Struthio camelus: one gene and its partners. The protein of the gene in region 4 purifies or fractionates together with the protein of the main gene of each other region. This does not show direct contact. Links are inferred from orthologs where the notes say so. Each region holds a gene or a part of one and is shown on either strand. Other genes may lie near its edges.

Region 1 (7,947 bases), on a different chromosome or scaffold from region 4:
GACTTTGCAGAACATCCAGACAGTAAAAGAACCACAGAAATCAAGCTCATGTCCCATTTTCTTCTAGATAGAGGCCAACTAAAACATCCAACTGAGGCTGTTTCTCACCTATTTTCAGCATCTCATAAAAATGAAGGTCAACAGAAAGGTGAGAAAACCTGTCATATTACATTTTCCCATGCAAGACGAACACCACTGACAGTTTTTGTCCATTGGAAAAAAAAAAAATCCCTACAGCTGTCTCTTCTTGGCCTTAATCTGCATGTTAGTCTCACAGGAACTTTTCACATAACACTATACTCCATCTCCTCCCTGTCTCCCGAGCCATTTTTCAATGCAAAGCACAGACGTGTGCAAATATACGCTTAAAAAAAGACACCTAGTTCTTAAAGCACAGAAACTAGGACTGCAACAGGGGTGCTCTTGACTACCAATAGAGTCCGAGCGCATCAAGTGTTCCCAGATAAACAAGCCGGTCCCACTCCAGCATATGGCAAAGCTATTTGGAAATGCCACAAGGGAACTAAAATAAGCAGAACATTTTATTCTGCCTCTAAAACGAATTGTTAATAAGGATAAAAGTCCCAAATAAAGAGGGAACTTGCACATGCAGATACAATTTATACCACAAATTGTAAACTCAGTCCAAACAACCTTGACCCCATAGATAAAACGTTAAGTGTCACCAGAACACTTAGGTTGGGTTCCCTGCGTGACCATAGACAAACATGTACGAGTTTGTTTCTCAGTGACTCAGATTCAGACACAAAGCAATCAAAGGAGGAATTTCATAATTTTAAGTCTTCAGAGTACTCACTGAACTATGGAAAGGACAGATTTACTTATGCCTTGTCATCAATAAAACCAGCTTATTTCCTTGCACACAGTCAGGCGCACACTGCACACGGCAGAGTGCCTTAGGCACTGTTCGCTCTGCATTCCGACAACAAGCAGAATCGAACCCCAAGAACAAAGAAAACTTTAAAAATCAACTCTAAAAGCACATTTCACACCCCTTTTCTCCAGAAAAATGAGCAACAATAGAGAACAGCCTCTACCTCTTCTGTTACTTTTCTAAGCTTACTGCAGTTGGTCATACAGTTATCTTTAACAGTATCTTTACCCATCACATCTCTAACAAACTCCGGGGGAGGTCGTGGGGCCCACTCATTCAGTTTTTCAGGAATTGGTACAGTCTTTTCCTGCAAGAACAAACCAAGCAGTCATTAGTATCTTCTCAGAGCAAAGCCTGCAACTTTAACATATTGTTGAAAGGTAGTGTACGTGTGACAACAGACTCTTCCCCCAGCTGACAGATCTCAGAAGGAGCAGAGTTGTAGTAAGTTCTTCACGCGCAGGGATCAGGAGCACGCAGGAAACAACAGCCACAAGGAATCCTCCCCCCCCCCCCCATTCCCTCCATTTCAGCCCTGCAGGTCAACAAACCCTAGGAAGATTACAAGGGTCCGCACTTCTTTTCAGTACGGCAATTGGAGGAGGTAAGTTAGTACCCCCGTGTACTTGTGGAAAGTGGCTCTGTTCCCACTAAAAGCAGTCGGGAAAAAGAGGAAAGGCATTTGTGCACCTTTCATCTCAGCTAAGATGAGGGAGGGCAGGGAAGGCAGGGAACGCTTGGCGCAAGGTCAGAGGAAGAACGCAGGGCGGGAGGAAGGCTCCGCACACGGATGGGAGGCTGAGCCCCATCCGGCACGCAGCTCCCCTCCGGACAAGGGTCAGAGCCTCCAGGCGGAGGAATCGGGGTCCAGCCCCATGTGTCACCGTCCCCGTTTCTCACCTGCCCCCGACTCCCATTAAAAGCATAGGGCAGGAGAGCGAGCAGAGGGAGCCCTGAGGGCGCAGGGGGCCCCTCCGCCCCCGGCCCCAGAGAGGGGTCTCTCCCCTCCGCAGCACGGGGCAAGGAGCCCTTGGTCCGGCTGCACGTGGGGACCAGCGCTGCCGCCACCGCTCGGGGGGTCCTCTCGCCCTCTCCCCTCACGGCACCCCCGGGGACTGGGGTCTCCCTCGCCCCTCACGGCGCCCCGCGGGGGGGGGGTCCTCTCGCCCTCTCCCCTCACGGCACCCCGCGGGGGGGGTCCTCTCGCCCTCTCCCCTCACGGCGCCCTGGAGAGGGGGGGGTCTCTCGCCCTCTCCCCTCACGGCACCCCACAGGGGGGGGGTCTCTCGCCCTCTCCCCTCACGGCGCCCCGCAGGGGGGGGGGTCTCTCGCCCTCTCCCCTCACGGCGCCCCGCAGAGGGGGGGGGGTCTCTCGCCCTCTCCCCTCACGGCGCCCCGCAGAGGGGGGGGGGTCTCTCGCCCTCTCCCCTCACGGCGCCCCGCAGAGGGGGGGGGGTCTCTCGCCCTCTCCCCTCACGGCGCCCCGCAGAGGGGGGGGTCTCGCCCTCTCCCCTCACGGCGCCCCGCAGGGGGGGGGTCTCTCGCCCTCTCCCCTCACGGCGCCCCGCGGGGGGGGGTCCTCTCGCCCCTCACGGCGCCCCGCGGGGGGGGGTCCTCTCGCCCTCTCCCCTCACGGCGCCCCGCGGGGGGGGGTCCTCTCGCCCTCTCCCCTCACGGCGCCCCGCGGGGGGGGGTCCTCTCGCCCCTCACGGCGCCCCGCGGGGGGGGGTCCTCTCGCCCTCTCCCCTCACGGCGCCCCGCAGAGGGGGGGGGTCTCTCGCCCTCTCCCCTCACGGCGCCCCGCGGGGTGGGGGTCTCTCGCCCTCTCCCCTCACGGCGCCCCGCAGGGGGGGGGTCTCTCGCCCTCTCCCCTCACGGCGCCCCCGGGGAGCGGGGGTCTCCCCCTCGCCCCTGACGGTCACCCCCGCCGGGGCCGGGCGCCCTCACCGGGTTCCTCATGAGCCGCTCGAGGCGGAGGCGCTGCTCCTCGGCGGCGCTGCGCGGGATGACGAGCGGCTGCGGCTCCTTGCGGGGCCGCGGCGGGCGCGGGGCCGAGGGCGCCGCCATGCTCCGGCCTCCGCCCGCCGCGCGGCCGCGGACTGATGGCGTCAACGGCGCGCGACGGGGCGGCGCCGCCCTGGCGTTGTGGGGGCGCCATGGCGGCGGCGGCGGGAGGAGGGGGAGGAGGGGGGGGGGGTACCACGATGATGGCGGCGGCGGCGGCTGCAGCCCTTCGCTGCACGGAGGCTCCCTGGCCCCGGCCAGCTCTGGCGCTGCGGAGCAGCTCACCGGAGCGGCTTTACCGCGGCGTGTTCATTCTCTCAGCTGCCCCCAGCGCGTTGCCCGGCCCCGTCGGTGCCGTCGCCACCTCCGAGCGGTGCCCCGTCCCGGCCGGGCTGCGGGCCGCCCCGGCGCGGCGAGTCCTGAGCGTTTCACACCGGCCCCCTCGCCCCGGCCACGTGCCGGCCCCGTGACAGCGAGCGCGATGGGGGCCCTTCCTCGCGCCATCCGCTCGTCCCGCTTCCGGAATTAAACAGCGCTGCCATGGCGGCCCCGCCGGCTTCTGTCCGCCGAGGGCCGTGGAGGGCGGCGGCGGGAGAGGCCGCCGGGCTTCGCCGAAACGGTGCCGGCGGCGGCCGGGAGCGGGGAAGAGGAGCCGGAGCTGGCGGAGATACCAGCTCCCCCTCCGCAGCCAAATTTCTTGTGGAGCCGCGGCGGCCCTACCGAAACGGCCTGGCGCGGGCTGAAGGGTCAGCCGCAGTGGCAGAGGGGCACGAGCCTGTGGGCGGTTTAGTGAGACGGGCTGGGGCGGCGAAGCTGGGCGCCGGGTTTCGGACGGCTTCGTGCTGTGCGTGCGGAGAGGGCGGCAGAGAGGCGGGCGCAGAGGGTGAGCGCAGAGGCCCCTTGGCAGATTTATGGATGGCTCTCACGACCTGAATTTATTAAGGCCCCCCCGGGCTCTTCCCCCTTCCGTGAAGACAATCTGAGCTCAGCCTTGGGTCTGTGTTTACAAAGGACTTTTCAACCTCTTCTGAGGTTGCTATGGAAATAGCAGTGGTTTGTTCCTCGCGTTTGTCTTACCAACCTGATTTGTAAAAGAATGGTGTGAATTTAGGGTTGGCGGTGGTCCCAGCTGGCCGCGCTGGCCTGGGAAGGGAAGGGAAGGGAAGGCATCCTTGCAGTCACAGCCCTGGCTGGAGCCGTGCAAAGGGCTGCCGCCGTGCTGCCTCCCAGCCCGCCAGCTCCTGCCCCCGCGGCTCCCCCAGCCCCGGGTCCCACTCTCCTGCCTGCCAGGAGACACCGGCGCCGTTTGCAGAGGCCAGGCAGGCACGCGCCCCCGTCGCCTCTCGCTCAGACTTGCTGCAAACTGCCTGAGTCTCCGCTTCCCTCTGCTCTGCTGAGTCTTAAGCCCACCACAGGCCACTCTAGCTCAATAGCCCGTGAGGTGACACCCGTTTCTCCTTGCTGCCGCGGCCGCCTCTGCAAACCACAGCCTCCAAAAGCAGGGCTCCGACATGTGGGGTGAGTGATGAGCTGTCAGGTCTCAGCCCTGTCATGCCAGCCCCGCTGGAGAAGGCAGAGCGGCAGCACGCAGAGCCTGCAGACACAGTTACGACCCGAGGGGCCGTGGGAAGCAGCTGGCCGGCTCGATTCGCTAGCCCAGAGCATGGTTTGTGCCGGTGACAACACGCAGCCCTAGGAAACAACAGGCAGTTGCCTGTCATCCAGCACAGCCCACACAAACAGCGCGGGCAAACAGACCTGGGAGCAGCCAGCTCTCAAACCACACGTCTGGGGAATTACTGCTGACCCTTGATGTATTATGCACGTGTTACTTTTAAGATGTATCTGGGGGGAACAGGATCATTATTTGGGGCATATCAAAATAGGAAGTATTTCACCATGCCATTAAAAAATGCAAACGCCCATGAAATCAGAGCGCTGGGCTGGGATCTGAACGGAAAAGAACTACCAGGGGTTTTGCGTTAGAGCAGGAAAGTGTGTTCGCAGTTCAGCGCAAACCAAACAACAAAATTCAGCTCCCTGATCTGTATCAAAGAAGCGTCTTTGTGTTTCAAAGCAGAGGTGTTATGAGGTGTTTTCTTAAGAAACAGGATTCTTCTGGAAGCACGTTAAGCTTTTGCTCAGACAGGTCCTGTGTGCCAGTCCGGCAGGAGCAGACACGGACAGCTCTAACGCCCAGGTGAAACGCCGGCGGTTGCAACGCTGAACGCCCTTCGCATCCTTCGCCGGCTCCATAACATCAGTGAGCGCGCGGCTCAGCCCCAGCAGCCCCGCAGCTCAGCCCCCTCGCTTGCTACGCCTGTTTTTTCCTTGTCTCGCTACTGGATCTCTGGGTTTGATGCATAGGACTGTCATGTCCTGTCCCTGCCCTGCCCTGTCCGGAGCGCTGTGAAAGCAAAGTAAAGCATGTTTTTTCCGGCAATCCCACCTTCAGGCACAGCCTTCACCACCCGCCTGGTGGGCACGAAGGAGGAGCTCATCTGCTCTCGCCGACGGCTGTTACCTCGCCGGCTGCCCAGCTCCCGACGCGTGAGCTAGCCAGAAGGGGTTAACGCGCTCTGGAGACTTTTAGGGAGGGAATTTTTTCATGAATGGCTCGTGATGCAACCACGGCCTGATCGCAGAGCGGAGTCGCTCCCGCCGCCCCCCAAAAGCCACGTGTTAGCTGTGTCTGGGAGCCGTGTCTGTCACGCCGCTCAGCTGTGACAGCGCAGTCTGGGACAACGTACCAGCTTTCCCAGGGGAGCCTCAGCAGCAGACAGCACGCCGGAAAGCGGTACCCACGGCAATGCGTGCGGCACCGCTTGCCAGGAGAGACCGTGGCAGGGGAGGGGGAAAGGCACTAAGGTGAACGCGGATTCTGGGAGGGCAGGGTGCTAGCACGGGCCTTCGGCAAGGGAGGAGCATCTTCGCTCCGCACGGCTGCTAATTCAGTATTATCTACGTTGGTGTCTGCTTCTGGGTCAACTTCACTAGTGACAAACCAAAGAAAATAACAGACCAGGCGGAGAGGAGATGCATCCACCCACTGCCATGCTGCGGGACGAGCGCGCGGGGCACTGCCAGGAAGGGAGCTGGCAGTGGGACCACCGTGGCCAGCCCAGCGGGAGTCTGCTAGTCGGAGGGAAGAAGAGAAACGACAGCTCCTGTGATCACAGGTGCCGCAACGCAGGCTGCCGGGCTGGTCTTCCCGGCAGGGCAGCTGGGGTCTGGGGACAGCGCTGCTTCCCCTTGCGAGAGGCGGGTGCGCAGGCACACGCAGCGTGCGACCCTGCCCCGTGCAGCCTGCACGCGTTCCCCCACCAGCCTCCACTTCGCAGGGACAAAACTACCCCTCTGCTCTGCCCCCGGTGCGCTGGACCAGCTCCGCTGGGGAAAGGTGGTCTGAGCCCTGCTGCGGCTGCCTCGAGATGAAGGGGTCTACACACATGCGACCCATGCTCTCTTCTCTTTTGTCACATAGCCAATCCAGGAAAGGCCCAAGCTCTTGTTAACGTGCTGTCCTTTTTGCAAGTGGTTTTATTTTAAAACTGGAACTCAAGTTCTCCATTTGTTTAGCAAGTCACTTTTTAAAATAAAATTAATTTATTCTACAGCACAGTAAACTCTTCCAGACTCTCCCCTATTTACAAATTAACATTTTTGCTTGCAGATCGTTGCTTCCCCCTCCTTTTCCTATCCTGCGGCGCAGAAGATGAAAAAGCAGCCAACACACAAAGGTCTCTAAGGCAGCGCTCCCATCCACAACCATCTGGCCTGTTGGGACCTTGGAGAAGACCAAGGGTGATGATGTCTGTGCCGCATCCGGTGCTCCCCCCGTTTGCCATGTGTGCATGAAGGAAGCAGGTCCATGTTAAACACACCGACCAAGAGCATCTGGCCTCTTCCTGCAGTGCTCAGTAGCGTCCCGATAGCTGCGCAGGCTCCTCTGGGCATCTCCAAGCCAGGTAGCTGTGCCGAGCAAGGGCTCATACCGCAGCCAGCCGCAATAGCTGCGTATTGGGGTGAAGGTGGCATCTGCTGCAGGAATGAGACCTGCCAGCCCTCCTCCTCACTGTGGCCCGCACACCCACCCTGCTGCAACGGCAGCTCTTATGTGGCGGGAGAGGCAAGGAGCCTCCAAGACATGTTCCCTGCCCTCGCGAAGGGGGAGAGACAAGTGGCTCAGGCAGGAGAGCTGGGCACATGTTTTGCTAGCTCGGGGAAGAAGGCACCTAAAAAAAAAAGCCCAACCCAAAACTGCCCAACGGAACAACTCTCCAGGCAAATTTAAGAGGTCTTGAGCCAGATTCTGGCTCTGCTCATGCCCTCTTTGCCCTCGGGGGTCCCTTCCAGCTGGGCACAGCTACACAAGAGGACGTCTGTCCCGTGGCGGTGGTGGGCTCTGCTGTGCACCGAGACCCACCACGTCTCCAAGCCCCCCGCGGTGGGTAAGAGGCAAACTGGCAGGGATGCGCCACTGCTGTCTGCAAGCAAAGTCTCTGCCCTTTAGGAGGGTCTCTCGTCCCGCGGGAAGCAAACAATCCCCGTAAGCATCCTGGCCTGTAAAACCACCCGTAAGGGCTTGAGAGACCCAGAGGGAAAGCACTGACAGCTGTCACTGCCGCTGCAGCGCCCGGTCCCTCCTGAGAGCCGTGCCGCTACGAAAGCCGACTGCCGGCTGGGTTTACCCCTGCCGGTCGGCCCTCTGCCCGGGGGGCGCGTTAGCCACCGGGGAGGGAAATCCCGGCTGACCACACAGTCAACCTGACCTGACCCCCCCGACTCGTTTAGCTGTTAACGCGCCTGGAAGCAGCCCCCTTCCTCTCGCTCCTCCTGGGCATTTCACTTTCTATAAGAAAAACAAAAAAAAAATCTTCAAAAGCAGCTATTGAAGATCCGTAGTGTTTTCATTTCTGGGGAGCCCAGCCGAGCACCTGCCCACCGCCTCTGCCACCAGGCCGCTCATGCAACGTGGGCTCGCTGGCCTGTTTTTCCAGGCTTGCCATCGAGGGATGGAGATTATTGCCTAGCCACGGCAGCAAAAA
Region 2 (7,826 bases), on a different chromosome or scaffold from region 4:
TTTAAAATGCTTTTAATTTAAATTTCTGCTTAGATTGTATTGTTTTATGACCAATAATTTTCTCCTTGCGTTTTCAACTGTGGAATTGGGAGTTATCGAATGCTATTAGTTAATACTAGTTTTTAATCTTCCCAGATTTAGTCCAAATTTTGTTTAAAGTTGCTGTGAAAGTGAGGACTAGCACCTTACTTAGCTGTAGCCTAATTGGAAGCATCTGCCCAGGAAAGCCAGGTAGTTTTTCTGTGTCTTTAGGAAGCTTTTGTTTTCCTCCCAGCCAGTACTGTTCTGCAGTTACTGATGTTAGCTCTGTTGACAGCCATGGTGTATGTGATGTCTGAACAAAATTGTTTCAAATTACAAAATGAGACAGTCCCTGGCTTTTAAGGGCTCTGTATTCCATTGCTAATGTTGGTTTGAGTGAAGACTTGAAATAAGCAATATATTTGTCTGTGAAACTTCCTGCTTATCAGCAAAATTTGCTGTATCCCTTTGTATGTTTATGTCAGTTAGTTGTACTGAAGTTTGTCTGGAGTTTTTTTTGCTTGATGATTTTGTCAGGTCTATGTTGCAAAGCAGGATTAAATGATGCTCAATCCATAGTTGAAGGGAAGCATTTGCATTTTATAAGGAATATTAGATAAACTGTAGAAAATCAGAGTAAATGAGTAGTAGTTCTTTTATAGTTAAGGACGTAGTTGAAATCTGAACTTCATAGCAGTCATTCTAAGGTGATGTGTCAAAACACAGAACAATAGAATTAGCCTTAGACTTACAGTAGCTTATCTGCTAGATCTTTTGATCTCTAGTTTCTGCTGTTTTTAAAATCAGCTATTCAGTTTTAGAATTTAAAGAGGTGGTTTCTTTCCACAACCTGCTTTTCCTGCAGTTGTTATACACAGATGAGCTCAATCAGCTTACTTTCCTTCATTCTCCTCTCACCAGGCCTAGGAAGATTCTTGAATGCTTAATTTAGATTGGATCATATTCAGATATCCAGCAAATATTCTTAAATTGCTAAAACTTTGAACTGCTTTTCAAACTTGTTTGCCTGCCTGTCCGACCTCTTTGCGTCTTCAGGCTCCTACACGGCCTTACCTTATGGACAGAAAAGCAGCTTTGAGAAGGGCTTTTAGAGAGATTTTTGAGTTCAGAGGCTAAAACTACCAAATGGAGTCGTACTTGATGAGAAAGGAGCAGTTGGTTTTCAATTCTAAATCATATTTCTATGTTAGAAAAGTAGCAGTTTCTTTTGCCAAGTAGTGTGATGAGGTTAATCCTGCTCAGCAAGTGGAGATGCCTGGCTTGTGTTCACGCACCTGAGCTTCCCTTGTCTGGGACTCTTGCCACTCATGCTGGGGCAGCTGCATAGCCACGCTTTACAGTCTGTTGTGCCAGCGTGAAGTAGGCATAGTGCCCGTGGGGACTTGTATCTGCTGTGAACCGGACTCTCACTCAGCTCCATTGGATCCATCATAGCCTGAATCTCTAGCTAGGATGTGTTGTGAATCCTGGAGAGAATCAGTCCCAACCTGCCACTCTTACCCATGGATTTGGAATGCGCTTGGCTGTGGGTGAAACTAGCACAACATATGCAGTCTTTAAAGCAGAATTGGATTATAACAGAAGAACTAACTTAATATTGTTTTTTCTTTTAGTGTGAAAAGAAGGTGAAAACGACAGTACTAACTGCAGCTCTTTTACTATCTGGAATCCCAGCGGAAGTGATTAGTCGCTCCATGGACACCTACAGCAAAATGGGAGACGTTTTCACAGACCTTTGTGTCTATTTCTTTACTTTTATCTTCTGCCATGAACTTTCTGTGTTTTTTGGTTCTGAAGTACCCTGATGGCTGTAGAACTCAATGCAGTAGTTACACGAAAGCTTTCTGTTCTGTATTCCTTTAACATCTGACTGTCCAAGCAGGTTTAAACCTTAATTAAAATTCTTACTGGTTTGAATGCTTGAAAGGAGCCTTGAATCCAGTCATTTTGGGAATGGAAGAACAGGGTCCCAGGCTGCCAGTTGTGTTAGTGCAGTTTATTTATATTCTGTGTCTGCCTCTTACAAATACGAAGAATAGGATGCAAGTGTCAGTAGATATATTTTGTTTTGTTAGATGATGCCCTTCTCACCCTCCTTCATAAACACTTACAAAGCTACCTTTGTTTTTTGTGGAGAGAACAAAAAGAAGGGATCAATTTTCAACAGAACCGTGTATGTGTGTATATATATATATATATATATATATATATATATTTATCCAGTACGGCTGTAGCTAGCAAGCTCTGCTCAGTTTGTGTTACTTCCATTTTCTTAACAAAAGCTCTAAATAAAAGAAATCCCTATATTCTGTTGTTCCAATTCAGAATGCTGAGGCAAGCAGCTGCTTCTGGAGAATGTTGGTGAAACATGCCACTCCATTCTCCTAATCCTTGCCTTGCTATAAATTTGTTGTGATTGTGATGAATTTCATTTGATGATTCTAGTGCAAAACAGCTAAGCAAAAACAAATATTATATATATATATTTCCTTTTGGTCTACAAGTGTCATCAATCAAAAGTAGAAAGAAACGAAATTCATCTCAACTGTTTGTGAGTTTCCGGCAGCCTGTTAATCCTAGCATAGCTCATACCAGTGTTTTCGTTCAACCTCGCCACCCCCCCCCCCTTTTTTTTTCTTGTAGCAATAGTTTACCTCATGCAGGGAAAGATGTATATATTGGCAAGCAACCCGCAGTATAAAACATTTGCTCCGTATATGTAAAAATTACAAGGGAACTGTTGTTTTTCTAGCTCCTTGCAGGTTTGCATAAGACGATTTTGAATGTGACATTAATTTCTGTATTTTTTTCTCTGTTTATTACCAGACATTTGCATGTAAACAGGATCTCAGTTGCCTAGGAGTTCTGCTCCTGCTGCTTAATAGTACTACTAGCCAACGGCATATACTCTTTCATTCAGCAGAGCTATTTATATGTTAACTGATTTGCTGTCTTCTGTCCTGTGTTTTTGAAATTCCCCAATTCCCACAGAAAAATCAATGTCTGATGGGAGAATAGCATCTTAAATTTTCCTGTGGGAGTGCAGCCCCATAGGTGAAAAAGAAAACAAATACAAATGAATCCTACAACTGGGAAAAGTAGCAAGCTAGTGAGTGTTGTCTTGTTTCAGTCCTATAAGATTTTAATACAGTGAGAGGAAGGTGGCTTCATTCCAAATAGCCAGCCTTTCATGCTGACAGTCTGTAAAAATGTATGTTGAATCTCAACTTGATGTTATCATCAGCTTGTAGTTTTCCTATTAGAATTGGGACTTTCAGGTAATCCAGGCTAATATTTGTCTTTTTTTTAAGTGTAGAGAGACACCTAGTTACGGTGATAGCTGCATACATTTTAGGGAGCAAAACTCATTGTGTGTGTTTAAAATAAATGGCTCTGCTTTCTGCTTAATCGTTTCTGTTAAAGCTGCCTGCTGTAATCTTAGCACTGCATTTCTGACTCCAAAGTCAGATATGTGTTTGTGGCATGAAAAGAAGAAGCTTTCGTTATGGATTTGACGCTTTCAGTTTTTACTTGTTATTTTATACTGAATATCTTGTTGCAGATGTCCAGGTCTGGGCTGTAAAAGATTCTGACTTAGGTCTATTAGCACAGATATTAAAAGGTTCTGGCTAAATATTAGACAAAAGTTTCAGCAGGTTCAAATAGCTGACATTTAAGTTAAGGTTGAAATACGTAAGTAATGAGTTTGCTCAAAAATTATTCTTTCGCTTATATGCCCAAATGTAAAGACAAATAAATTTCGAAAATACCAGGTACTAGCGTCTGCAAAAAGCACGGAATTTCTAGTCCTGAGCACAAATATTTTAATCCTGATCAGCTAGTTAATAAGAAAGCAGGTGACCCACCTGCCTTATTGTATTTTCACACAGCCGCTTTTAGAATCCTTTTGCATAAAAAATGATTAAGCAGGTTATTCTCTCAAGTGGTGAAAGAAATGTTGCTACGAGACCTAATCTGGGAACTTTTCAGTCTGAAAACACCTGGTTTTATGTGACAAACTGTTCAAGATGGGATTGGAATATGGTCTTCCTGTCTCTTAAGTGAATATACATAGAGCCAGCAGGGACTTCACTAAATTACTCTTTGCCTTTGATCAAGAAATGAGTCTCCTTTTCCCCGTTTTGGCTTACCTTTGTTTATGTACATAATTCTATTTAATGTTTATTGCTAAACTGGTTGTTTTCTATTAAAAATATATTTGTTACCCCCCCCCCTTCTTCATTTCGTCTGTCGGCCTACCATCCTTTGTTGTAAAAGTCACGGTTTATTAAACGCGTGCCGAGTTGGTAGTTCCGCCAGGAACGCTTTGACCCTCCTGAGAGCAGCGGGAGCCCGCGCCCGAGCCTCGCCGCTGCGCCGGCCGTGGGCCTCTCCCCTGTAATTCGCGTTTGTCGCTTATGTTTAGTGTCAGCTGTCAACGGCCTCTTAAGAGGGGCAGTCACAGCAGGGCTGGCCGACGGCTGAGCGGGCTGTAGCCTCGAGGGTATGAGAAGAAAGGGCGTCGAAGCCCGCGGGTGGCAGGCGGCGTTGGCTCCGGCCCTCCCGTGAATCGATTCTGCCCCCGGAAACTTTGGCTTTTGGCCGGCGGTGAGAGCGTGCAGGTGAGGGCTGTGATCAGCGGGGCAGCCAGGCCCCTGCGGTGAGCCGCCGCCACCGCGTGTCCCGAGGACCTTTTGCCCCGGTTGGGTTAAAACAGGGGAAAATCGGGGGCCGCCGCCGCTTTCCCAGCGGGCTCCGGAAGCGGCGTTTGCCGCGCGGGGCGGCGGCGCGGCCTCCGGCCGCCAGGGGGCGCCGCGCCGCGGCGGCGGCCAGGAAGGTGTGTGTGTCGGGGGGGGAAGGCCGCTTCCCGCCGCGGCGCTTCTCGTCGTCCGGGGCGCTGGGGGCGCGGAATGGCCGCCGCCGTCTAGCGTTGGGCTCGCGCCGCCGCCGCCGCCGCCATGGGCCGGGAGTCCAGGTGAGGCAGCGCGGGGCGTCGCGGCCCGGCCAGACCCGGGGCGGCGGCCGGGAGGCGCGCGGGGAACAAAGGGCCGCGGCTGGGCTGGGCTGGGCTGGGCTGGGCCGGGCGCGCCGCGCCGCTGAGGCGGGACAGGCCGGACCGGGCCGGACGGGACCGGTCGGGACCGGACCGGACCGGACCGGACGGCGCTGCGCTGCGCTGCGCTGCCGTCGCCACGCCGCCCGCCCGCCCGGGCTGGTGGCGGCGGCCCGCGGCGCGGTCTGCGGCCGGCGGCGAGGAGCGACACCCGCCTTTTGGGTCGCGGTAACCGAGCGGCACCAAACGCCCCTTTGGCCTGCGCGCGTTCGCTTCCAAACAGTAAGAGCCACGTCCCTCACCTGGCAGGCGTTATTCCCCGTTAGCTCTTTTTGTTTTTTTTCCTTTCTCCTCCATATTCCGTTTTAAGTTCACGCCGGGTCACGTATCTTTTGTCCTCTCTCAGCTCGGATAAGCGTCGCGGTAGGTGTTTGAACCGGCTCAGCAGTAACGCGCTCGCGGACTCGGTGCTTCGGAGCAGACCGGAGCGGTTCAGAGCTGGTGCTAAGCCTGCCAGGTTTTAAATCCTCGTAGTAGTTTGCAAGTGCTCTTATAACATATATCAGTTTGTGACTACTAGTTTAGTTTACTCCTGGTTAATTAGCTTAATTAGCTTAGTTATAGGGGTTTTATCGCTGAAACTGCAACGCAATAAAAATGCATACTTTGTGTCCCTACCTGCTGGCGTCCCTACACTGCGAAGACATCCTAGGTTCATAACTTAGATCCCGCCTGACAGAGGCAAACGAGTTGAAATTTTGAGTACCGTCATGGGTTCAAACTGGCGATTCACTGCAGAGCTGTGTACTTAAAGAAGAGCTGCGGACTCAAAACCTTGTCCTTTTTGGCCTGTTGTGTCAGCTCGTCTAATAAAAGCCCTATGGAACTTGCCTCCGGGGTCACAGCCCCTCGTCGCTGAGAAAAGGGTGCACGCGTGTTTCAGGCAGCGACCGAACACGGCTCCCGTAGATACAGCTGAGTGAGTTTCAGACTAGTTAGCTGAGCGGTTGTTAGCTGCTGGCTGCGATGCTCGCACGGGACGCGGTATCTGCTGGGGACCCAGCTCCAAACTGCTGGCGCTCGAGCCGGCGGGGCTCCCTCGCTTGGCACAGTTCAGCTCCTCTTCTGATAGTGCTGCCAGTTTTTGTCGGGCTCTGAGGTCATGCTGAGCAGAAACGTATTTATCACACGAGGCCGCAGGCCTCTGAGGAATAATTCTTTTACAAGCAGGTCCTGCAGGCCCCGCTTCTCCCAGGCCCTGATGCGTACACACGTTTTTCTGTTTGTGGGTTTGGATAATGAGCTGGACCAAACAACTGGCTAAGAATAATCTAAAAAAGTGGAGTTTAATTTGTGTTATTTCTCTAGTTTATTGCCTGAAAACAGAATCTTCTAAGTAGAACTGAAGAGATGGTAAGAGAGTGAGAATGAGTGGTGGGTGGAGAAGGGTGGGGTGGGCTGCATGTGCTGGAATTGCTGTTGAAGGAAATGGTCAGCAAGGTAGAGCTTTTGAGACTTGAAATAAGATACCAGCCTCACTGCACACTCTAGAAACAAACATACCAAATACCGGGGGGGGGGGGGTGTGGGGAGGGGGCGGGATGTGGAGCAGCATTTTAGTGACAGAGATGAGGAAGAAATCGGAGATACCTGATGCTGACAGATGTCCTGCACGTTCAGTTGTACTGCTGATAGGCAACGCATTGATATTGTTGTGATTCCAAACGTGTATGATACTTGAATATACCAACATACGGAAATGAACTGTGTTACTTTTAGTGCCGATACGGTTGTAGTATAACCCTATGTGGTAATGAGGAAAAGGGAGGAAAGAAGTCAAGGGCTTGAGGTCTTGCTTTCTTTGCTTCTTCCTGCTTCCGACGCATTGCTACCAGGCTGGTGGGGTGAAAGGGTCTGTGGTCTCGGACTACCAGAGCATGAGGGAGGGAGGAAGAGGAGATGGTCCCCGTAGAGGTCCCTCTGTAACTTGTACGCTGAGGTGAAGAGTTTTGAGAACAGCTCCTAGCCCAAACCCCTCTCCCAGTTTGACTGGGATAAGAGAGCATTAGTGGAGGGCGAAAAAGAGATGCCCATCTCCACCACAACCCTTGAAAGCCTTGCTAACTTCTTGAGGCTTGCGTTGAGGTGTCTGATGGCGTTATGGAGTTTCTTTTGGTGTCAGCATCATAAAGGAATTGACCACTGCTGCATCACGTATGTTCCTTTAGTTGCAGTTTGACCACTTTTCCCTTGAACAGAGGTATAACTTACTTGGCTTACTTGGGTGAAAAGCGACAAAAATTAGTTTTACCTGTTTGACAAATTTGATGACGCACCTTCAAACAGTTGTAGGCTTTTCATGCATGTAACAACAATCAGTGGATTTCTAAAGGGGCAGTTATTTTTCTTGATGTTCCAGTGTTCTCATAGTGCTGTTACATCAGAGCTCAAAAACCAACGAAAAATATGACCAAGTAATCCATCCAATTTTGACACCATTAGGAATATGTTTGCATTAATCGTTTTTGCAAGAATGTTAAAAATGTTTAGAAAGTGAATAAATCAAAGAAATTAAGTGATTTTTTTTTTGCTCTCCAAGTAAATATGACAAATCTTTTAACTGCTAGTTTTTCTCATATTCGCATTCATCTTTTTTATGAATTTACAATACAGGCATTATCGGAAGCGCTCTGCATCACGTGGACGCTCTGGTAGCCGTTCTAGAAGTCGT
Region 3 (7,809 bases), on a different chromosome or scaffold from region 4:
TGGGGCAGGGCTGGGCACGGGAACGGGGGGTCGAAGGGTCCCCGTATGGGGGGGAGCAGGGGGTCAGAGGTCACAGGGTCTTTAAACAGGGGGAACCAAGGGGTCAGAGGTCTCTGTCTGGGGGGGGCCAGAGGTCACAGGGTCCCTCTCGGGGGGGGGGAACAGGTCAGAGGTCACAGGGTCCCTGTCTAGGGGGAACCAAGCGGTCAGAGGTCTCTGCTTCGGGGGGGTCGGGGGTCTCTAACGGGGGGGGGCATCAAGGACCAAGGTCAAAGGATCACGGCACGGGGGGTCAGAGGTCAGAGGGGACCAGGGGGTCAAAGGACTCTGCTTAAAGGGGTCAGAGGTCAAAGGGCTTCATCATGGCGGGGGGGGGGGCGAACCATGGGGGTCACATGAGCTCAGTGCGGCCGGGGGGGGGGGGCGGTGTCAGCGCTTGGGGCCAAAGGGTCTCTGTCCGGGGAGGGGTCAGGGGCAGGGGTCAGAGGTCAGGGGTCAGACTCACCCTCTCGCCGCCGGGGGGGCTGCAGGGGGCGGCGGGGGGGGTCCGGGGCCTCCCCGGGGGGGGTCGCAGCGGCGCCGCCCCCCCCGCGGCCCCCCGCAGCAGCGGCCACACGGCAGCCACCTGCGGGAGGGGTCAGAGGTCACGGCCCGCCCGCCCGCGGGGGGGGGGTCAGAGGGCAACAACGGCCGCCGCGCCCGCTCACCCCGCTCCGCGCCATCGCGCCGCTTCCGGGGTCAGCGGCCCCGCCCCCGCCGCCGGCCAATCAGAGCCTGACCTGCCTGCCGGCGGGCGGCCAATGGGAGAGGAGGGAAAGGGGAGGCTCCGCCCCCTGCCGGGAGGGCGGAGCGGCGGGGGGGGGGGCTGCAGGAGCGCGCATGCGCTGCAGGCTGCGGGGTGACTCTCTCCCCCTCTCCGGCCCCATTGCACCCTGCACCCCATTGCACCCGGCCTCATTGCACGCTGGACCCCACTGCACCCGGGACCCCATTGCACCCGGCCCCACTCCACCCGGGACCCCATTGCACGCCAGCCCCATTGCGCCGGGGGCCCCATTGCACCCTGCACCCCATTGCACCCGGCCTCATTGCACGCTGCACCCCACTGCACCCGGGACCCCATTGCACCCGGCCCCACTCCACCCGGGACCCCATTGCACCCTGAACCCCATTGCACCCGGGACCCCATTGCACTGGGGGCCCCCCTGCACCTCAGCCCCATTGCACCTGGCCCCACTGCATCGGGGGACCCATTGCACCCGGGACCCCACTGCACCTGGGACCCCACTGCATGCCAGCCCCATTGCACCCTGCACCCCATTGCACTAGGGGCCCTATTGCAGCTCAGCCCCATTGCGCCCGGCCCCACTGCATAGGGGGTCCCATTGCACCCTGCATCCCATTGCATCCAGCTCCACTGCACTGGGGGACCCATTGCACCCCAGCCCCATTGTGCCTGGCCCCACTGCACCAGGAGCCCCATTGCAGCCTGCACCCCATTGCACCCTAGGCCCCATTACACCACAGGCTCCATTGCACCCAGGACCCCATTGGAGCTGGGCCCCACTGCACCGGGGGCCCCATTGCACGAGTGGACCCATTGCACCCTGCACCCCATTGCACCTCAGCCCCATTGCACCCTGCACCCCACTGCACCCAGGACCCCATTGGAGCTGGGCCCCAGTGCACCAGGGGACCCATTGCACCCTGCACCTCACTGCACCCATCCCCATGGCAGCCAGGGCCCCATCGCTCCCTTCATGCACCTCCCAGGGGTGCTCTGTCCCTGCTTGCCAAGCCCCGCCCCTCCCCAAGCCCCGCCCCCCCATGCAGCCCCAAGATCAGCAGCGGCCGCGACCCCTCTGGGACCCCCAGGTAGCCCCGTTCCCAGCCGGTGGGTGGGAAAGGACCCAGGCGTCCGGGCCCCACCCCCAGGCAACCCCACCCCTGCCTCAGCCTCCCCCTTAGCCAGCGACAGGGCCGCAGAGGGGACCCAGGTGTCCGGGCCTGCCTTGGCCGTGCCTCAGTTTCCCTAGGCTGGCTCCCAACGCTGCGCGCGGAGCAACGGCGTCGGGGCGGCGCGGGGGTCCGCTGCGGTGCAGCGGGAACCGACACGAGCACGGCTCAAACGTTCGCCTTTAATCGCGTGTGCGGCCAGGGCGAAGCAGCGTGCGCGAGCCTGGCGCGGGCTCGGCCCTTCTCCGCGCCCGTTAACGGCGCTTCCCGGAGGCGAGCGGGACAGCGAAGCCTTCCCCGGACGCAGCGGCTGGATCGGCAGCGGGAAGTGTCCTGGCTTCCCCCCTCCGCAGCAGAACCGGGGCGTCTTCTCCCTCCAGGACCGTCCCCTGCCCGCGCCGGGGGGGGACGCGGCGGCGCAGAGCAGGGCGGGCTCGCCGGCAGCGAGCCGGGACGAGGCCCCGCGTCGCCCCCACGTCGCGGCGGTGGCTACACGCCGGGGGCCGGGGGGTGCAGCAGGACGGCCTTGCCGCAGAGCCCAGCCCGCACGCCGCCCGCCGGCACCACGTAGACCTTGCCGTCGCCCGCCCGGCGCGGGCTGAAGTCCGTCAGCTGCGCGTTGCTCTCGTGCAGCCGCCCGTAGCCCCAGAGCTGCACGCGGCGGCTCTTGCCCTGCTTGGCCAGCAGGAAGACCTCGGCCAGCTCGTCGTCCGGCGGCAGCCGGGGGGGCCCCGGGCCGGGGTGGAAGAGGCCGGGGATCTCGGCGTCCTCGCGGCAGCCGGGGCTCAGCGCCGGGCTCCTCGCACCCAGCAGCGCGCCTGCAGCGGAGCCGCCGTCAGCTCTGCCGCGGGGCGACCCCAACGTCCCCGCAGCGGGGCCAGGGGCTCCCTGGCGGCGTCCCCCCCGCCCCGCTCTGCCGCCGGCGCGGACGTACCTGAGACCACGGCCCAGTGGGCCTTGTGGCCCTGGCGGCAGCAGGGCTCGTGGTTGCTGTCCTCGTCGTAGCTGGGGCGGGCGTTAAGGGGCACAACGGGGGCAGCGCGGCGCGGAGGGGGCCGGGGCCGCGCGGCTCTGCCCGGCGGCGGGAGGATACGGCACGAGCAGGGGCCGGCCGGCGGCGAGGTGCCGCAGGATCCGGGGCCGGTTGTCCCCCTCCAGGCCCCCCGAAAGCAGCTCCGCGCGGCACGGGAACAGCTCCTGGGCCAGCGTGGCCATGTCAGCCGCTGCGGGGGCACAGAGCGGGCAGGGAAATCCCGGTGGTCCCCGCCGCCGCCCCGGCACGGCGCCGACGGGGCTCGGAGCGGCCCCCCCGCCGGCCCCCCTCACCTGAGAACATCTCGCCCTGGGCGGTGAAGGCCCGGTCCCGCGCCGCCTGCACGATCTGCTCCAGCGAGACGCCCTGCGACGGCTCCAGCAGGGCCCCGGCCATCCACAGGGCCACCAGCCCGCACCTGGAGGGGGCCGAGCGGGGCCGTGGGTGGCCGGGACCCCCCGGCCCCCAGCCCCGGCCTCCCCCCACCCCACCTCGACACTTACTGGGGGCCCTCCTGGATGAGGGACGGCACCGGGCGGTGGACGAGGAGCCACTGCAGGTCGCTGCTGAAGCTGGGGGGAGGCAGAGGCTCAGCAGGACCCTGGTGACCTGCGGGGGGGGGGGGGGAACATGGCCCACGCGGGGTCCAGGACCCCCCCCCCCGGCCACCACAGGGGGATATCGCCACGGTCCGCCCCGGGACCCCCCGTCCCCCAGGTCAGGCCGGGACCCCCCGTCCCCCAGGTCAGGCCGAGCTCCCCGGGTCCCTCCTTTCCCCTGGTTCATGCCGGACCCCACGGACCCCCCATCCCCTGGGACCCCCCATTTCCCTGGGTCATCCCGGGACCTTCCAGGACCCCCAATTCCTCAGGACCCCCCCATTCCCCCGGATCCATCCCAGGCCCCGGGACCCCCGGGACCCCCCGGGTCAGGCCGAGCTCCCCGGGTCCCTCCTTTCTCCTGGTTCATGCCGGACCCCAGGGTTCCCCGTCCCCCAGGACCCCCCTCAATCACCCGGCTCATCCCGGGCCCCTCCGGGACCCCCAATTCCCCGGGACCCCCCATTTCCCCGGGTCATCCCGGGTCCCCCCATTCACCGGCACCCTCCTGTCCCCCGGGACCCCCCATTCCCCCGGATCCGTCCCAGGCCCCGGGACCCCCCGCACCCCAGGCCCCTCCGGGACTCCCAATTCCCCAGGACCCCCCCCATTCCCCCAGGTCCATCCCAGGCCCCGGGACCCCCGGGACCCCCCGGGTCAGGCCGAGCTGCCCGGGACCCTCAATCCCCCGGGACCCCCCCCGGTTCATCCCGGCCCCCGGGACCCCCCGGTTCAGCCCGGGACCCCCCCGGGCCCCGGCGCCCACCTCTCCCGGCGCCGCCGCAGCAGCTCCCGGAGGTCGCCGCCGTCGCGGTCCGCCGACTCCGCTCGCTCCAGCGCCTCCCGCAGGAAGCGGCCCGGGGGGGGCGGCGGCGGCGGCGGCGGCGGCGGGGGGGGGGGCGGCGGCGGGGGGGGCGGGGCGCACCGGGCGGGGGCGGGGCCTGGCGGCAGCACCGCCCCGGCCCCGACCAGGGCCATCCCCTAGGCCAAGGTCAAAGGGCGCCCGGGCCGGAGGTGAGAGGTCATGGCGGGGAGAGGGGTCAGAGGTCAGGCCGCCGTGCGGCAGCAGCACGTGCCCCCGCGCCGCTGCCCTCGCGCGTGCTTCCGGCCTCTGCTCCGCCCCTTCCGGGCCCCGTGACGGAGCCGGCCAATCGGACCAGACCTCGCCGACCGCGCTCGACCAATCGCGCAGGTGGTGGGCGTGGCCGCCCGCCGCTCCGCTGGGGAGGGGGCTCCTCAATCCCGAGGGAGGGAGGGGCGGGCGGCTCCCAGGCTACGCGTTCTGATTGGCCGCCCCGAGACGGGTCACGCGGTTCTCATTGGCCGCCGAGCTAGCGCCTGCCGCGTTCTGATTGGCGGCCCTCGCTATTGGCGGGCGAGAGCGAGGCGGGCGCGCTGCTATTGGCGGGCGGCGAGCAGGGCCTGGCGGCGGCGGCGGCGCGCTCGGGGCCCTCGGTGAGTGGCGGCGGCGGCGGGTGCCGCCGGGGCGCGGGGCGGAGCGGGAGGGCCCGGGCGGGGTGGCGGAGGCGGCAGCAGCCCCCGCCGCCACCGGGAGGGGAGCCGAGAGGCTGGACGGGCCTCACGGGTGTCTCCACATCCGGGTCCTCCCCCCCCCCGACCTTTGGGGGGGGGAAGGACCCGGATGTTCCCCCCCTCTACTGGGAGGGGGAAGGACCCGGATGTAGTGACCCCTGGGGGGGTATTGACCCCTTCCTCTCCGGGGGGGGGGGGTCAGGGATCCTTCCCCCCGCCCCGAGCCCGGCTCTGGGGCCCGGTTCCTCCCTGAGCCCTTGATCTGGGGGGGGGGTCTGGGGTCTTCCCCCCCCCCCCCAGGGGGTTGAACCCTACCATGGGGGTGTCTCCTCCCTGAGCCCCTGATCGGGGGGGGGGTCTGGGGTCTTCCCCCCCCGAGGGGGTTGAACCCTCCCATGGGGGTGTCTCCTCCCTGAGCCCCTGATCTGGGGGGGGGGTCTGGGGTCTTTTCCCCTCCTGGGGATATTTAAAGCTTTCCTGGGGTTTTTTCCTTCTCCAACCCCCTGGATTTGAGGGGTCTGGGGTTTTGCTCCACTCCAGGGGAATTTAATCCTTTCCTGGGGCTGTTTCTTCTCTCAAGCCTCTGGGTCTGGGGTCTTTCTCCCACCTTGTGGGACACGCCTAGACCCTGGACCCTTGCAGGGACCTATTAGCCCCCACGCCAGGAGGGCTCGAAGGGGGTGACCCTCTTGTTTCCCCCCCCCATCATTTGCACCCGGGTTAGGGTTCTCACTGCCTGTGGGGGCACAACTGGGACCCGCCGTCCCCCAGTGCCGTCGCAGCCCTCTCCAGCCTGGTCTCTCCTCGCAGATCCAGGTGTCACGTGTTCAGCATGGCTGTCCAGGACGCACGCCCCAACCACACAATCTACATCAACAACCTCAACGAGAAGATCAAGAAGGATGGTGAGGGGCGGCCTGAGCAGGCAGAAGGGGAACGCGGGAGGGGTGAGGGGATCCTACCTTCATCTAGGCCCTGGGGTGCTTGTGGAGGCAGCTTTTTCTTTGGTTTGTCTGAGAAAGGTCAAAGTTGTTTGGCTGCAGAGGGAAACGGCCCATCTGTCTCCAGGAGGAGGCCTGCTCTTATGAGCAACAGCTGCTCATTCTCCTTGCTGCTCAACACGTGTCAGACTCGAACTTTGTCTCCTAGAGCTGAAGAAGTCCCTTTACGCCATCTTCTCCCAGTTCGGCCAAATCCTGGACATCCTGGTGTCCCGGAGCCTGAAGATGCGGGGTCAAGCCTTCGTCATCTTCAAGGAGATCAGTAGCGCCACCAACGCGCTGCGGTCCATGCAGGGCTTCCCCTTCTACGACAAGCCCATGGTGAGCCCTGCCCACCGCGCTGCCGGGAGCCGGCCCCCTGGGTCCGCAGTGCCCCCCTGACGTGTTTTCCTCTGCCTTCCCTCCGCAGAGGATTCAGTACTCGAAGACAGACTCGGACATCATCGCCAAGATGAAGGGAACCTTCGTGGAGCGTGACCGCAAGCGGGAGAAGAGGAAGCCCAAAGGCCAAGAAGCTTCCTCAGCCAAGAAAGCGATCGCTGGGGCTGCGGCTCCGGTTGCGTCCGCAGTCCAGGGAGCCGTTCCCGTGAGTCAGCTGCCCGGAGCTGCCGCAGAGAGGGGATCGGAGCGCCGGGGCCGCGCTCGGGGCGGGTGTCGGGGGTCTGGGCGTTGAGCTCGTCTCTCTCCCGCAGGGAATGCCGCCGATGAACCAGGCGCCCCGCATGATGCACCACATGCCAGGCCAGCCGCCCTACATGCCGCCACCGGGCATGATCCCGCCGCCCGGCATGGCTCCCGGTGGGATCCCTCCCGGGGCTATGCCCCCCCAGCAGGTGATGCCCGATGCCCGGACAGATGCCCCCAACACAGCCGGGGGCTGGGCTTCTCCTAGCGCCCCAGTACGGGCACTGGGAGCCCAGGTGCATGCGGGCCGAGAGAGAGTCCAAGGGAAAACGTGCCAGCCCCAAACCTCACAGGCTGCAGGGTGGCCCTGTCGCAGGAGAGGGGCAGGGAACGGGACTCGGGGCCTTCCCTCAGCTCCTCTGGGAGCGCTGCGGGAGGCCAGGAGGTGCCCAGCTTCCCCCCAGAGCCCCTCCGGGCTGACTCCGGCTCTCTCAGCAGCTCTCGGAGAACCCGCCCAACCACATCCTCTTCCTCACCAACCTGCCCGAGGAGACCAACGAGCTGATGCTCTCGATGCTGTTCAACCAGTGAGTGCAGGCCGGGGCCGGGGAGGCTGCGGGCACGCGGGGAGGCACGGCGGGGGCGGTCGGGGCCCCTCTCACTGCCCGTGTCCCCCGCCAGGTTCCCCGGGTTCAAGGAGGTGCGCCTGGTGCCGGGCAGACACGATATCGCCTTCGTGGAGTTCGATAACGAGGTGCAGGCGGGAGCCGCCCGCGACGCGCTGCAAGGCTTCAAGATCACCCAGAACAACGCCATGAAGATCTCCTTTGCCAAGAAGTGATCTCGCAGGCACCGAGCTCCCAGGACTGCTCCCTCCCCCTAGCCCTGCCTCTCCGTCCCCAGCCAGCCCCCTCTGCGGGGCTCGCTCGCTTGTTTTTCCCTCCCCTAGAAGGTAAGTCTGTCCCCGAGGCTGGCTGAGTCTTTGCCCCCCAGCCCCTCTCCTTCCCCCGCGGCACCCCGGGGTCGAACGGAGCCGGACCTCCGCCTGCCGCATCCACCGCGC
Region 4 (7,382 bases):
AAACTAACTCCATCTGAAGATAAAAGTTACTTTGAAAGCATGAAGAACAGTAAAGTTTGCAAATGTCAGATTATTATACTACAGCCCCAACTCCCTTGCCAACCCGCTAACAAACTTGTAAAGACTGATGCACAAGGAGCACTCCTGTACAAAATCTCAGGAAATTAGGTGTTTTTTCCTCAAGAAATTAGGTGTTGGTTGTTTTGTTTAGAAAATGTCTCAGGAAGCTGTCATAGCGGGCACTGAGGGCTGTAACTGCATATTCTTGTATTCTTGGGGAAAATCTATAACAACTTCACTAGAACCACGCAAGCTCAAGGACTGCACGTGGCTCCAGCATCCTTTCCGAACAAGTCTATCTTGTCAACATAACGCAGATTTGATGTTCCAGAACACAGAGTTGTTTCTCTTATCAGAAACTGCATAGACCCATGGTGAAAAGAACCCCAAACACATTTCTCCCCTTCCTCCACTCATAGAAGGACATGAGACTGAAAACAAGCAGATTTATGTTTACAGTTAACATGAAAAATGTTTATTTGTGAAATACATCTTTTATGGTATCGAAGTTAAAAAAAAATACTCCCACAAAGCTACAAACCATTTTAACCTCAGCATGCAACCCCAGCTACACGTAGCTTCCTATCTACCAGCAGCTCATGTTCCCATGACCTAGCACTTTATCCGCTCTGAAGCACAGTAACTATTGTTCTAAGGGAAGAACAGCAAATTCTAGTTAGAAACACTTTGTAGAAGAGTGATATTGTCCCCTTTTAACATGATCCGACCTGCAACACAGAGAAAGGAAAGGGGGAATTAGAAAGATCCCAGGGTCTGAGAATAACCTCATATTTTCAAATAACATTTCACAAAGGGAAAGATGTTTGCAAGAAGATGCCCACATGATAACTGACGAGTTTTTTTTTCAGACTACGGTCACAGACAGTCTCTTCCTTGCTGGCCACACCACAGGACTACAAGCCTGGCAGCACATGGCCCACGTGCACAGTTCACACTACAGCGTATCAGACACAATCTCCATTCTAGTGCTCTGCGCCCCAGCAGCACTATGCCCCCGGTAAGAGCCTGAACACATCGCTTGTCACAGACCGTTGCTTATCTTCATCAGCAGATGGCAAATACTACATACCACCACTTAGGTGGTTCCTTGCTTTGACTCAGAGGTGGCACAGCACGTGTAAAAATTTCTTAGAGATATCTGTTTTAGATGAAGCTGAAAGGAGTTTTGCCTGAACTCCTCCAGCCCTGGCTGCAGGAAAAAAGAGAGAGATGCAGCACAGACCTTACATTGTTACACACATTTAAAAGCTGAAAATAGGTCTCAGGCACTGACAGATTCTCCTGTATATCCAACAAAACCACCAAATCAACAAAGAGCAGGCACACAGATCTAGCCAGTATCCTTCCACTATACTTCAAACTCAAAACTCTTCACATGTTGTGTATTTTAAAGCGCTGCCATTTGGAAGGCTCAAATAACCACGTTTCAGATCATGCATCGCTTAGGTTATACAGACATACCGAGCTGTTTCCTTGATTTCGTTTTTGAGTGAATCTCCTCTGCGTCGTCCAGAACCAAGTTCATATATTCATCAAAGCCCTAAAAAACAACAACAAAAGCAGTTAGCGAGCTCAGTCTCCTACTCTTAACTTCAGCAACAGTGATACGAACTATCAATAAATATGCTGACACAGGCTAGACAATTAAGACCATTCACTGGAGGCATAAGGAGTGCTCTTTCAATCTGTGCTAGTTTCCCTTGACGAGAAGAAATAGAATCTGTGACTCTGGAGAAACTAACAAAAGAAATAATAAGGGTACCTCCTGATACTCACAATGATGCATCCTTCTATCCGCATGTTCACTTGCTCATAGAGCCAGACCTGGATCCTGGACCTCTGCAAAACGATGGGGGAAGAGAGCAAAATACGAACATAAACACCCCAAGCAATTTTGTTCCTCTCTCCTGTAAACTGAGAGCTCAGCTGGATCCTTACTACCACCAGCCACCGCAGCTCTATGGCTACATCCATTCAAAGGACAAACTCTCAAATATGGTCTCAATCACGTCCTCAGACATCTTTTAAGATGTTTTTCTCAGCGATTTGGAAAAGTCGTGGAAGCACATGTACGAGCCTGTATTTTAAAACAGACACAGAAGAACGGCCCTGCTCGTGTGACGTGATGATCAAACTCCCACTAGGGAGGTAACCTGTGAACGTGTAAAGGAAATCCTCAACTTGGAACCTGCTGTTCTGTACCCGAAAGATAGCGAGCTCTTCAGCTACCAGAAAACGGCTTTAAAAAACGTGTGTGTGGAGGGGGAGGGGGAATTCCACCAGCCAAACCCGCTGCTGTACCCGGCAGCAGCTCCAGGCCCTCGCCAGGGCCGGGACTCCTCTCGCCCCCCCCCACCCCCCCAAACCCCGTCCCGCCCCCCGGCCCCGGTACTCACGTTTTGCAGGTAGCGGAAGATGAGGTTCTGGAGCGCAGCGTTAAGGGCAGCACCACGGCACGGGGCACGGAGCCCGGCAACGACACGCCGTCCCCGCCGCCCGGCCCGCTCCTCCCCGCCGCCCCCCCCCCCGTCACCCCCCCACGGCCGGGAGCGGAGGCCGCCGCGGCCCTGCTCTCTCCGCCGGCGGAAGGATACGATGGGCTGCACCATCACCTTCTGCACCTTCTGGCCCTGCCCGCGGTACGCCATGGCCGCTGCTCCTCCGCCGCCGCCGCCGCCGCCCGGGCCCGCCGCCAGGCACGCGCTCCCGCCACCGCCACAGCCGCCGCCGCCGCCGGAAGCCGCTGGGCACGCCGGGAGAGCGCGCGGCGCTCTGGGACTGCGGGAGGACTTGGCGCGCTGCCCGGCCGCTCTAGGACCGGCGGGAGGACCGCCGCTCGACTTGCTCCGTGCGGGGCCAAAAGGGTAACCAGAGGGCTGGGGCGAGGGGGGAAGCTCAGGGGGGCAGCCCAGCTCTCTGCCCAGGACCAGGGGGCCTCAGGGAATGAGGGAGGAGGGTCCTAGCCTCCACCTTTGGGGGCCTGGGGAACTGGCCCCCTCCAGCCCTGGGGGGCTTAGCAAAGCAGGGAGGTGCAGGGGACTGTCCCCCCACCCCAGCCCAGGGCAGGGGTTGGCTCCAGCACCCTTCAGCCCCTGCTGCTCGGCCCCTCTCACCTCTCTGGGTGCAGGCAGACCCCCCCCCCCCCAAACACCTCCGGCTGCTGCAGACAGACCACGTGTCACCAGCTTTCCTACGCCAGGTTTATTTAAAAACACCTGTAACTGCCATCACGTAGAACAGTTCAACTAATGGTGAACGTGGAGGAGCTGGACTACATTTAATACAATACCTTAAATAGAATACAAATATAAAATGAAAGAATAAAATATTTACAGAAACAATGGCATACACAAAATCCCGTCTCCAGGGACAGAGCCTCTCGGCTCAGAGGCGGCAAAGGCTGACAACAGAAGAGAATATTCTGCTTAAACAACAGCAAGGAGAGAAAAAGCAAGGGGGAAGTCTTCCACACCACGGTCTCTCACGTGTGCTTCTCTCCTCCTCAAAGTCACTTCTGTCTGTGCACAAGCAGCCAGAGCTGGCAGAAGTCGCATCATGAAAAAGTCCTTCAGCAGGATAAAGGGCAGCGCTGTCCTGCCCACTTTGTAGGAAGTTTCCAACTTGGTGACCCTTCTGGAACTAGAACAGCAGTTTCTTCAGAAAGGGCTTTGCTAATTTTGGTTCAAACTTTTCCTCTAGGAACTAAGACATCACAGTGGATTATCAAAGCACACAAGTGTTTTCTTCCAAAGAGAAAAATATTTACAATAAGCTAAACAGCTGATTTTCCTCTGCCAGCAGCAAACGCCTGAGGGCCCCTACAGCTTCACAAATCATAACAGGAAGAGACTAAAGTTCTCCAGAAATTTAAGAAAATAATTAAAAAATATATCTGCTAGGGAAAATGATCACTGGTGGCAGGGTACACAATAGACCCCAGTCTCAGCTATTTTCTGCAGGGTCGCAATTTCAGACTGCGCATTCAGATGGCCAGTAACCTCCCGTCCCGACTCCAATGCGTACTTCTACATGGAGCTCAAGCCTCAAAGGTGCGTTGGGGGTATAGGGGAGATGAAAGGAAGGGAGCCCCAGGACATGCCTAAAAAGGAGAGCACAGTCAGTCCTGCAGCAGTACCAAGTACCAAGATTGCTTGTCTGGGCACCGGCCTCCTGTTGGTTCAATGCCACAAATGACCACCCGATCAGACAGATGCCACATGGCCAACAGGAGTTCAAATAAAGCTGACAGTCAGTGTTTTAATGTTAGCCCTAGCAGCTGTCACTTCCCAGCAGAAGAGCCAGCAACTCAGGGGAGTGATTCCTGGAACCAAGAGGCACTTAAACCAATTCTTCATTTACCAATTTACTGCAGACTATAAGAGGAATCCTGACTTCTCAACCCAGAATCCTATTCACTTCAGCAAAAAGCACCAAAACCCCCAAGCTTTGATACAGTACAATGAAAGGGGGGGGGAGGGTATTCTAGCTGTACTGTATAGCTGCTGCTTTTCACACTGACATTGTGTTATCCCTGATAATCGAGGAGAAGTAAGGCTGGATGGACTGACTCCAACCACCACCCTTGGCAGCATGTTTGGTCCAAAATGCAAGAAGTAATCATTCTGCTCCCTCCCACCCCTTCGTTTTCATTAATTTGCCCTAAAAGAGTAAAGTCAAAATGATAGCATACATAAATAGAAATCAAGAGTTGACATAGTAACTCCAAGCTTTAGCATCAACTGTCCAAGAAATCAGAATGCAAAAACCTTGAAATACACCCAACGTTGTGTTTTGCCAAGGGCAGGGGAGGCAGGGAAAGAAGCTTTAAGTTTAAGCCTTCAGAGCATCACTGACTCAGTAGATCAATTCACAACCACCACAGCTTGCAGATGGGCATCTTTCTGGTCTGAAATAAAGAAGTGCTTTGTCCTCTTAATATTGAAGGTAGCCACCAATAGTAACAGAACGGATGCGCAGGACTTGAACTCTGACCAGCAGGGAAATCTAGGACAACTGAGTGCAGATATTGCCAATTTCTACCAGTTCAACTGTGCTTTAAGACTCATTGCAAAGCCTCAGCTAGAAAAAGGATCATCTCAGGGTATCCAACAAAATATACAGTTTTAATTTTTTTTTTTTGAAACAGAAGAATATGCAGTTCAGCTGTCAATCATCTCAGAAAGTTCAAGAAGGAGGTCATCCTCATCTTTCCCTGGGTCCAGATCAATTTCTGCTTCTAGTTTGCCTCCTGAGATTTCCCAAATAAGCTTCTCAAAGTCATCTTCTACAGATAAAGGTGCTTTCCCAGCCCCTGTGGAGCTTAACCGGCGCGTCTTTACCACTGCTTGTGAAGAAGTTGAGCTTGAGACCTCTGACTGTGCCACAGAATCTGCCTGGCTTACAATATGCAGTTCAGCACTTGGGAGAACAAGAAAGAGAACAATCAGTATGTGATATTCCTTAACTAGAGATGCATTTTCTGCCAACTAGCTCTTAAAACTGCAGCTAATCCCTCCTACACTTTACACAGGGATCATTATTCAATCAAGCTGGGGCTACTTTAGGTTCTCATACACTAATATTAGCAGATACATTTTCAGTTTGAGGATTCGTCTGTGAAAACAGAACAGCTGGAGATCTGGCAAAGACGGTTCAATTTTTGTAGCCAGAGACACTGTGCCACATTTACTAATTTGACTGTTAAGAGGTCAAGGAGTCAACCTCTGCAAATACCTGTTTACTATTTTAGTTATTTTTCCCATGACATGCTCTGCAGACTTTGCTCCCAAATACAGGAAGTTGATCCTCATATACCATCTCTCTCTCCTCTTCCAACAGTCTTTGCCCAGATGTATGTTTGGTTCTAGAGAATGCCATTGCAAAGAAAGAGGTCTTCCTCCATCCCGACCCATCTCCAACTTCATCTCATCTTCATTCAAGTTTTCAGATAACCCAAGAAGACACTATCAACTGGCAGCACTTTAAAGGGAAGCGTCTAAATAACAACTCCTTCCCGCTGCTGGAAAACGCATTCATATGATTTGTCCTAGCAGAGTTCTTCATTTGATTTTGGCATTAATCATCTCAAAACTCTAATTTTTCCACATGTGAAAGAACGTATGTTTCAAGTGAAAGCCACAGTGACCCAGAAAAAGAACAAGTTTTGGTTGTCACCTGTCTTTGGGTTTTTCTCTTTCAGGTATAGTGACCAAGTTATCCTCTGGCAGGGCTGGAACAACAGCCTGGGAAGAAACAAGACAGTGTTTATGACACACAAGTAAATGATTTCTTAGCAGATGCTTCTTCCACACTGCTTCTCCTCTGGCATTGCTGAGCCTTAACCAAAATCCAGAGCCAGGGCTTTCCTGAGAAAAGTTGATATTAACTTCAAGCTTTCCAACGACCTCGTATTTTTTAAGAGCGCAGCATTAATGGAAAACACCACATAGAAATCATACTAGAGTATTATGAAAACACTGTCATGCCTCTAATAAAAAATAAAGAGGTACAACAACCACCCTGCAGATCGTTACTGGACCTAAGAGGGAACAAAAGACATACAGAACACCCGTTTTCCATTTTTCCAACTTTTGTCCAAGAGGAGGGTAAAACTGAAGCATAAATTTTACTAGGGACCAGCAACTGTCTCAGCTAGCGTCCTTACCACAGTTGCTTTTTTAGCTGGAGGCTCCTTCATGTCACCACCACCAGTGCTGCTCAATGGTTTCACAGCTGCCACAGCAGAGGGATGACTCTCAGCTGCCCTACGTTTCAGGGCCTGCTTTGTAGGGGAGGTGGCTTTCCCATCCGATGGCTTCATGCTCGCCTTAGATTTGGCTAGAACAAAAGGAAAAGAGAACTGATATAGTCTTGCTCTGCCACAAGAAAAATCCAGGTTCTCTTAACGTTCCCATAATCCTTCCTCAGTTCATTAAAATATATTTGGCAGCAGAACTGCACTGCTATTTCCCAGACTCTCAGTAACATTTGATATACAGAGAACTGTTTACTCACAATCCATAAAGAGGAGCAAAGAAACTCAACAGCAACACTAAATAATAGACCAGGACAAGGAAAACTCAAACACAGTGCAATCTTAAGTGAAAGTAGTACTTTTTCTAAAGCACAGTATGGAGTCTAAGAAAGTTCACAAATAGAAACAATTTCTGTATTTAAAGAGCCTTGATTTCTCTAGAAAAAGTAGCAGCTACGATAAGACACGAGATAGTATGCTACTGCCGTATAAGCTCCCCTTTCTCTTGCAGTCACGACCCACAGAATTTATTAAGCTATTCTACAGT

The links.
Region 1: the proteins of SNRPE (region 4) and PRKRIP1 purify together in Homo sapiens (co-immunoprecipitation; 3 studies listed by BioGRID and IntAct, counting the BioPlex papers as one, with this or other methods). This does not show direct contact. The link is inferred for Struthio camelus from reciprocal best matches to the Homo sapiens genes SNRPE and PRKRIP1.
Region 2: the proteins of SNRPE (region 4) and DDX46 purify together in Homo sapiens (co-immunoprecipitation; 3 studies listed by BioGRID and IntAct, counting the BioPlex papers as one, with this or other methods). This does not show direct contact. The link is inferred for Struthio camelus from reciprocal best matches to the Homo sapiens genes SNRPE and DDX46.
Region 3: the proteins of SNRPE (region 4) and SNRPA purify together in Homo sapiens (co-immunoprecipitation; 4 studies listed by BioGRID and IntAct, counting the BioPlex papers as one, with this or other methods). This does not show direct contact. The link is inferred for Struthio camelus from reciprocal best matches to the Homo sapiens genes SNRPE and SNRPA.

Annotation. Positions count from the first base shown.
Region 1 is NC_090957.1:14,350,209-14,358,155, reverse strand, and holds the start of PRKRIP1 (PRKR-interacting protein 1), read right to left. Parts: upstream 3,008-7,947; 5' UTR 2,963-3,007; coding exon 2,843-2,962; intron 1,203-2,842; coding exon 1,124-1,202; intron 1-1,123.
Region 2 is NC_090954.1:4,146,787-4,154,612, forward strand, and holds the start of DDX46 (probable ATP-dependent RNA helicase DDX46), read left to right. Parts: upstream 1-4,824; 5' UTR 4,825-5,000; coding exon 5,001-5,017; intron 5,018-7,768; coding exon 7,769-7,826. Other genes in the region: guided entry of tail-anchored proteins factor CAMLG, read left to right, coding at 1,656-1,847. UniProt on the Homo sapiens protein: Component of the 17S U2 SnRNP complex of the spliceosome, a large ribonucleoprotein complex that removes introns from transcribed pre-mRNAs.
Region 3 is NC_090957.1:588,461-596,269, forward strand, and holds the start of SNRPA (U1 small nuclear ribonucleoprotein A), read left to right. Parts: upstream 1-4,797; 5' UTR 4,798-5,043; intron 5,044-5,931; 5' UTR 5,932-5,953; coding exon 5,954-6,026; intron 6,027-6,270; coding exon 6,271-6,443; intron 6,444-6,531; coding exon 6,532-6,708; intron 6,709-6,814; coding exon 6,815-6,955; intron 6,956-7,241; coding exon 7,242-7,333; intron 7,334-7,427; coding exon 7,428-7,587; 3' UTR 7,588-7,809. Other genes in the region: COQ8B (atypical kinase COQ8B, mitochondrial), read right to left, coding at 506-625, 708-722; ACTMAP (actin maturation protease), read right to left, coding at 2,446-2,774, 2,891-2,961, 3,050-3,179, 3,283-3,407, 3,493-3,561, 4,355-4,566. UniProt on the Homo sapiens protein: Component of the spliceosomal U1 snRNP, which is essential for recognition of the pre-mRNA 5' splice-site and the subsequent assembly of the spliceosome. U1 snRNP is the first snRNP to interact with pre-mRNA.
Region 4 is NC_090965.1:6,662,162-6,669,543, reverse strand, and holds SNRPE (small nuclear ribonucleoprotein E), read right to left. Parts: upstream 2,850-7,382; 5' UTR 2,730-2,849; coding exon 2,676-2,729; intron 2,505-2,675; coding exon 2,478-2,504; intron 1,921-2,477; coding exon 1,858-1,920; intron 1,622-1,857; coding exon 1,543-1,621; intron 789-1,542; coding exon 733-788; 3' UTR 507-732; downstream 1-506. Other genes in the region: ZC3H11A (zinc finger CCCH domain-containing protein 11A), read right to left, coding at 5,241-5,499, 6,256-6,323, 6,746-6,918. UniProt on the Homo sapiens protein: Plays a role in pre-mRNA splicing as a core component of the spliceosomal U1, U2, U4 and U5 small nuclear ribonucleoproteins (snRNPs), the building blocks of the spliceosome.